2 linked regions of the Rattus norvegicus genome follow. The protein of the gene in region 2 interacts with the protein of the main gene of each other region in a biochemical or structural test. Links are inferred from orthologs where the notes say so. Each region holds a gene or a part of one and is shown on either strand. Other genes may lie near its edges.

What was found. The genes of interacting proteins can lie anywhere in the genome.
Region 1: the proteins of Supt5h (region 2) and Ccnt1 form a complex in vitro, tested with the Homo sapiens proteins (2 studies listed by BioGRID, with this or other methods). The link is inferred for Rattus norvegicus from reciprocal best matches to the Homo sapiens genes SUPT5H and CCNT1.

The regions. Positions count from the first base shown.
Region 1 is NC_086025.1:131,569,434-131,573,083, reverse strand, and holds part of Ccnt1 (cyclin-T1), read left to right. Parts: intron 1-1,011; coding exon 1,012-2,409; 3' UTR 2,410-3,650. UniProt on the Homo sapiens protein: Regulatory subunit of the cyclin-dependent kinase pair (CDK9/cyclin-T1) complex, also called positive transcription elongation factor B (P-TEFb), which facilitates the transition from abortive to productive elongation by phosphorylating the CTD (C-terminal domain) of the large subunit of RNA polymerase II (RNA Pol II).
Region 2 is NC_086019.1:92,742,174-92,745,923, reverse strand, and holds the start of Supt5h (transcription elongation factor SPT5), read left to right. Parts: upstream 1-1,478; 5' UTR 1,479-1,552; exon of another isoform or gene 1,553-1,794; 5' UTR 1,795-1,803; coding exon 1,804-1,878; intron 1,879-2,214; exon of another isoform or gene 2,215-2,308; intron 2,309-3,750. UniProt on the Homo sapiens protein: Component of the DRB sensitivity-inducing factor complex (DSIF complex), which regulates mRNA processing and transcription elongation by RNA polymerase II.

The DNA.
Region 1 (3,650 bases), on a different chromosome or scaffold from region 2:
ATTACAGTTGGGCATGGTGCTGCATACCTTTAATGCCAGCACTTGGGAGACAGAGACAAGAAGATCTTTCTGAGCCTGAGACCACCTGGGGCTACATATACTGAGACCTGGGGGTGGGGGAAGATTGATTTTTATTTTTGTGTATGAGTGTTTGCCTGCATTTGTGTGCATGCAGTACCTGTGGAGGCCAGAGGTGTCAGATCCTCTGGAACAGGAGTTAAGTGGTTGTGAGCCACTAGAGCTGCTGGGAACAGAACTCCTCAGCAGCAGCAGCAGCAGTTTTCTTAACTGCTGAGCCGGGTCTTTACCCAGGGCTTTCTTCTTCAGTGGGTTGCAGTGGAGCTGTGATGCCGATGTCTTAGTCTTATGAATAAGAAAGAGTCCCTCCCTTTCCCGCCAGTGTCAGACGGACTTGGAAGCACTCACATGCACAAGGCCCTGCATTCAGTCACCTGCACTCAGAGACGGACTAGATCCTTCCTTTGCCCAGCTCCTCTGAGATAAGGTCTCTTGGAGCTCCGGCTGGCCTTGAGCCTTGCTGTTAGGAGGCTGACCTTGACTCTTGATCCTCTTGCCTCTGCCTCTGGTTTAAGTCCTGGGGTTAAGTGCTGGGATTGCAAGCACGCACCACCATGCATAGAAATTTCCTTTATTTTTTATTAGTTCAGACTAATTGTAAGTTTGGCGAATTATAATTTTTGCCTCTAGAAGCTTAGAGTTTCTTAAATCTTTTCTTTTCATACAAAGCCTCACAAATTTTCTAGAACTTATTTAAAGGCTGGCCGCAGCCCTAGGCAGTTATACTGAATGTTTAAGATCGGCTTCCTTTTCTCGGTGTAAATGAGTGCCTCTTAAGTACTCAGGGGTAGAGGCAGGAGGATCTCATATGCCTGGTCTCAAACAAAAACCCACCTCCAGTACAACAAAGGAACAAAAAGCCATGAACAAGTTCTCTGTAGGTGTTGTTTCCGTGTATTGCAACTTAGTAAAATGCTTGTTGCTTCATTCTAGGCATACCAGGCTGCCATGAAAACCAAACCGGATGACCGGGGAGCGGATGAAAACACATCGGAGCAGACGATTCTCAATATGATTTCTCAGACCTCTTCAGACACAACTATCGCAGGCTTAATGAGCATGTCAGCCGCGTCTACAGGTGCAGTGCCTTCCCTGCCTGCCTCTGAAGAGTCCTCGAGCAGTCTAACTAGCGTGGACATGTTGCAAGGCGAGCGGTGGCTGTCTTCTCAACCTCCCTTTAAACTAGAGGCTTCTCAGGGTCATCGGACTAGTGAGAATTTAGCACTTATTGGAGTTGATCATTCCTTGCAACATGATGGTTCGAATGCATTTGTTTCCCAGAAGCAGACTAGCAAGAGTGTGCCATCAGCTAAAGTTTCACTTAAAGAATACCGTGCAAAGCACGCTGAAGAGCTGGCTGCTCAGAAGAGGCAGCTGGAGAACATGGAGGCCAATGTGAAGTCACAGTATGCATATGCTGCCCAGAATCTCCTATCTCATGACAGCCATTCTTCAGTTATTCTGAAAATGCCCATCGAGGGCTCAGAAAATCCTGAACGTCCTTTTCTGGATAAGGCTGACAAATCAGCCCTGAAAATGAGACTCCCAGTGGCTGGTGGAGATAAAGCGGCCTCTTCAAAACCGGAGGAGATAAAAATGCGCATTAAAGTGCACTCTGCAGGTGACAAGCACAACTCTGTAGAAGACAGTGTTGCCAAGAGCCGAGAGCACAAAGAGAAGCAGAGGACTCACCCGTCTAACCACCACCACCACCACAACCACCACTCACACAAGCACTCTCACTTACAGCTGCCAGTTGGCCCTGTGAGCAAACGACCAAGTGATCCAAAACACAGCAGCCAGACAAGCACCTTAGCACACAAAACCTATAGCTTGTCTAGTACTTTGTCTTCTTCAAGCTCTACTCGTAAAAGGGGGCCCCCAGAAGAGACTGGGGCAGCAGTATTTGATCATCCAGCCAAGATTGCCAAGAGTACTAAATCATCTTCCTTGAATTTCCCCTTCCCGCCTCTTCCTACAATGACCCAGTTGCCTGGGCATAGCTCAGACACAAGTGGCCTGCCCTTTTCACAGCCTAGCTGTAAAACCAGAGTTCCTCATGTGAAACTGGATAAAGGCCCTCCTGGGGCTAACGGTCACAACACAACTCAGTCAATAGATTATCAAGATACTGTGAATATGCTCCACTCCCTGCTTAGTGCCCAAGGTGTTCAGCCCACTCAGCCCCCTGCATTTGAATTTGTCCATTCTTATGGTGAATATATGAATCCGAGAGCTGCTGGCATCTCCAGATCTGGCAACACAGACAAACCTCGGCCACCACCCCTCCCGTCAGAGCCCCCTCCACCTCTTCCACCTCTTCCTAAGTGAAAAAAAAGGCAAAAACTTCAAAAACAAAAAACACTTTTTTGTTTTGTTTTTTTCTTTTTTGTTTTGACTACTGATACTAGACTACGAAAATTACATCCCTTATGAAATATGTCACCTAAGGAATAGATTGCTATTTGAGACAGGTGGGGGGTGCTGGAGGGCCTCAGTTATTACATCTGCTGCCTCCTACACCTGTAGTTGGTACCGGTGTTAGAGAGGTAGGGTTGTGTGGAAGCTGTGAAGGAGGACTAAGAACGCGCTATGGCCTCTCCTCATCCTAACTAGGTTGATTGGAGTAGTTCTCTTCCCTCTTCTCGCCAGAACTGGAATGTGGAGGGCGTGTCCAGCAGTGTGGATTCTTTTGGGGTTTAACATATCAGAAGAGAGGAAGTATTTAAACGTCAAATCTTTAAGAGACTTTTAAAAAATAATTTAAAGAAAGTAAGTTATCTGTTTAGTTTTTTTTATATATAATTGGGAAGGGGAAAGGGATTTTGCTGTGTGTATGAGGAACATAGCAATGACTGGGGGTCGGAGGGTGGGAATGTGTGCAGGTTGGGCGGGAGGGTAGGCTTTGGCCAAGAGTGAAATAGGCTCAGGCCACTTGAAGTATTGAGATCTTTAAAGTGTGTGCGTGCGTGCGTGTGTGCGTGCGTGCGTGTGTGCGTTTAAAATCATGTTACCTTTTTCCTCCCACTCTTAGCCATTTTCACATCTCAACATTCTATTAGAGAGCATAGTTGGCCTTGAAGCTATAAAGAGGCCTGTAATGACAGTGTGAGTCCTCCCCTCCCTTCGCCACATGGTTATCTTGTAATTGAGTAGTAGCCCTCTAGCTTCTAGTTTGGGCAGGTGTAGCCAATGCCCTAACTCTCTAGCACCATTATGGAAACTTCCCTTTTACTCCATTTTGAGTTTTCAATGCGGAATGGAAGTGGGCTTGAGGAAGAAGCCTAAAAGCAGGGCTGGCCAATTCCCTACAGAATCCAGGTTGGGCTTTGTGAAAGCTCAGGTCTCTGAAGGGAAGAAAGGTATGCTTGCTTGTCCTCTCTGGAAAAACCAGACCATGTGTGATAATAGGATTGGGAGAAGCCAGGGAGTTAATGATACTAAAGACAATGAAATTGTGATTTGGGAATCTGAAGACTTTGTGTTTGTTACATTATGAATGTAAGATTTGCTTTTTATCTGTTTATCTAATGGGAAACAACTGCACACTTGCAGTTTGCAGCCTGTCTGAC
Region 2 (3,750 bases):
CCTACCTCAGTCTACTAAGTGCAGACAAGGTAGGTACTACCAAATCTAGCTAAAGCATGTGACTTAAAAATTTTAAACATATATTGTGTGTATATAGATGTATATAAATATATGTATTATATATTGTATACATACATATACACATGTTTATATGTATACACACACACGTGGGGTTCATGTATGCCATAGCATGGATGTAGAGGTCAGAAAACAACTTTTGGGCATTTATCCTTCTACCATATAGGTTCCAGGGATCAAATCCAGATCGTCAGGCTTCTCAGCAAGATCTTTTTTTTTTTTTTTTTCGGAGCTGAGGACCGAACCCAGGGCCTTGTGCTTGCTAGGCAAGCGCTCTACCACTGAGCTAAATCCCCAACCCTCTCAGCAAGATCTTTTATCTGATGACCCATCTCGGTGGCTCAAGCATGCTGCATTTATTTCCTTTTTATTTTGTCCTGCATTTTTATGTAAGTGGATATTAAGTATGCACGATGTCAGTGCACTACATGAATGTAATGTCGGCAGAGGCCAGAAGAGGGCGAGTATTAGATCCCGAGTGAAAGCGGGTTGTGAGCTGCTGGGAATGGACCCCAGAGCAGCCAGAGTTCCAGACAGTTGAACCATTTCTCCTGTTCAGGTTTTTTGATTTGTTTGGTTACAGTGTTTCACTGTGTAACTCTGGCTGTCCTGAATTATGTAAACCTGCTAGTTTTGTGCCTAACTCTTAACACGCCTTTCTGTTCTGCCCATCCTCAATCTTAAATCCGTAATCCGCATCAAAGTGGTTTTTCTCTTCAGACACACTAGAAGAGGGCATCTGATCCCATTACACATGGTTGTGAGCCACCATGTAGTTGCTGGGAATTGAACTCAGGATCTCTGGAAGAGCAGTCAGTGCTCTTAGCCGCTGAGCCATCTCCCCAGCCCCCTAAAGTGTTTTAATTGTCAGCATGGCGGCACACACCTTTAATTTCAGTACCAGGGAGGCAGAAGCAGACATGGGCGGATCTCAGGGAGTTTCAAATTAGCCAGGCTACAGAGTAAGGCCCTATCAAAAAACAAACAAACAAAACCAGGTCGTTAGTATACGTTAGTATACTATACTATACTGCTCTGCACTAAACTGACAAGTTTTGAGATTGTTTTGAGCATCGCCAGGAATTCGGATTTAACTTGAGTCTGGATCCCTAAAATCCAGGGGAACTCCTCAGAATGCCGAGGGTATCGGTGTGAAGCCGAGTCTCTGTCCCGTCACCTCTGACACCTCCTAGGGAAGCTTAGAAGGTTTACGAATAAACAGTTTACTCAATTCACGCCTGGGTTAGGAGAAGCCGCTTATCTTTCGACCTTCTCAAGATGGCGGCTCTACAGTCCGCTCGAGCTACTCTAGCCACTTCCGAGATGGCGGATCCAAGCGGCCTACCTCAGGGCAGGCCCGAAAAATCTCGCGTTAGGTGAGGCTAACGCGCCAGTTCTCGCGAGAGAGCGCTCAGGCCAGCTAGGCGTTGTGTGATCAGCAGCTGGCGCGGAAGCTTCAGGTGGACAGTGATCGGTAAGGGGGTTTGAGGCGGTAGGCCGGAGGGCTGGCGGGGGCTCGGGAGGTGTACCGGCCGCAGCCAGAGCCGGATGTGCGAGCTGGCATAGGCGGAAGGACTCGGGTTCGCGATCGCCTGGACCAGGCTGCCGGAAGTGCGCCTGGGGATTTTCTTCTCCAGTGGAACTTGCAGGGAAACTGAGGCTCAGGGTGGAGCTCCGGGTCCTGGGATGCGCTGAGGCCGCCGTTTTCCTCTGCAGTTGCGGAAGATGTCGGACAGCGAAGACAGCAACTTCTCGGAGGAGGAGGACAGCGAGCGCAGCAGCGAGGCGGAGGAGGCCGAGGTCAGTGCCTAGGATTCTTAGGGGAGACGTTGCGCCTAGGGACGGGCAGGGCAGAGAGGGCCCTATGGGAGCCGGGGAGTCGGAACGGCTGGGGTCTCCCAGGTTGTCGGGAGAGATGGACGAGTGTGCAAGTCAAGGTGGAGCAGAGGGACAGGATCCGGAAGGTGGGGGATGCGTTCAGACGTCGTTGGTTTTTTTTTGTCACGTATCTGATTTGCTTCTTTTTGTTTATTTTTATTACTTGCGGTGCTAGGATTGAGTTCAGGGCCATGCTAGGTGCACACTCTCGTCTAGTTAGCCTCAGCTCTTAGTATTCTTTCGTGTTTGTGTTTTTAGGTATGCCCAGTTGTTCCAGAAGTGTATACGTATTGCCTACTCTGTGCCAGCCACAATTGTTTGTCCTTGGGCTCCTGTTAACAGATTTTAAAATGTAAATCGACAACTGATAAGTGAACATGAATTTGCTAATGTGAATACATATAGCCAATTAATATAAGACTCCTAGGTTCAGCATTACTAATCTGAAAATCCAAATTATTTTGTAACTTTGAGTCTTGTATTGATGCCCCCGAATGGAAAATTCCACATGTGACAGGTCAAAGTCAAGACACTGTGCACTAAAAATACTGTATTAGATTACTGTACACATATATGAATTTCACATATATGAATTTCATGTATTGTCCCATCCTAAGGTATCTTATTGTGTATGTGCAAATAATCCAAAAATCCTCCAAGATCTGAAATACGTATATTTTGGATTTTTAAAATTGTTCGTTTGCCTTTTTTTTTTTTTTAAGGTTTATTTACTTATTTATACAAATATACTGTAGCTATCTATCTCTTTATAGATGGTTGTGAGCCACCATGTGGTTGTTGAGATTTGAACTCAGGACCTCTGGTAGAACAGTCAGTGCTCTTAGTCCTGAGCCATCTTTCCAGTCCATTCGTTTGCATTTTTTTCCCTAAAGATTTATTTATTTTATGTATATGAGTACACTGTAGCTGTCTTCAGACACACCAGAAGAGGGCATTGGATCCCATTACAGATGGTCGTGAGCCACCTTGTGGTTGCTGGGAATTGAACTCAGGACCTCTGGAAGAGCAGTCAGTGCTCTTAACCGCTGAGCCATCTCTCCAGCCCTCATTTGCATTTTTGAGGCAGAGTTTCTAGGCTTGGCTGGCCTTGAACTCAGATCTGCTTTCGTCTGCCTCCTGAGTTGAACCGCTTGAAATCTGAAATCTATTCACATCTTGTCTGAAACTGTGAATTAAGGATAAGGATATGTGGCCTGAGATAATCCTTTCTAGTACTCTGGTGAAAAATCCAAGCACAGAAAGGGAGTAGAGGATCCTAGCTGCACTTTCAAGCAGTTGGTCACAGTGAGTTAGAGTGACATTTGAATGGAGAGTTCTGGAAGAGAGGGGTAAGTCATATGGCTATATATTTTTTCTTTTCTTTTTTTTTTTTGTTTTTTGTTTTTTGTTTTTTGTTTTGTTTTGAGATGGGATCTCCTAAATGTAACCTTAGTTGGCCTAAAACTAGCTATGTAGGTCAGGCTGGCAGACTCTATCTGCCTTTGCCTCCCAAATGCTGGGACTAAAGATGTGCCCCACCATGCCTGACCCTCCCTGCCTTCTTTTAATAATGGTGATAGAACTCAGGGCTTTGTACGCATTAAGTATGATGTACACAGTAAGTATGAGCTCTGCCACTGAGCTACATCTTGTTAAATTTAGCGCGAGGAAGGGGGCTCTGTGTGTGTGTGTGTGTGTGTGTGTGTGTGTGTGTGTGTGTGTGTGTATAGGGAGTTAGTTCTTGGGCTAGAACCTCACAAATACCAGCAGGTATTTTGTCACCCAGCTGTGTCA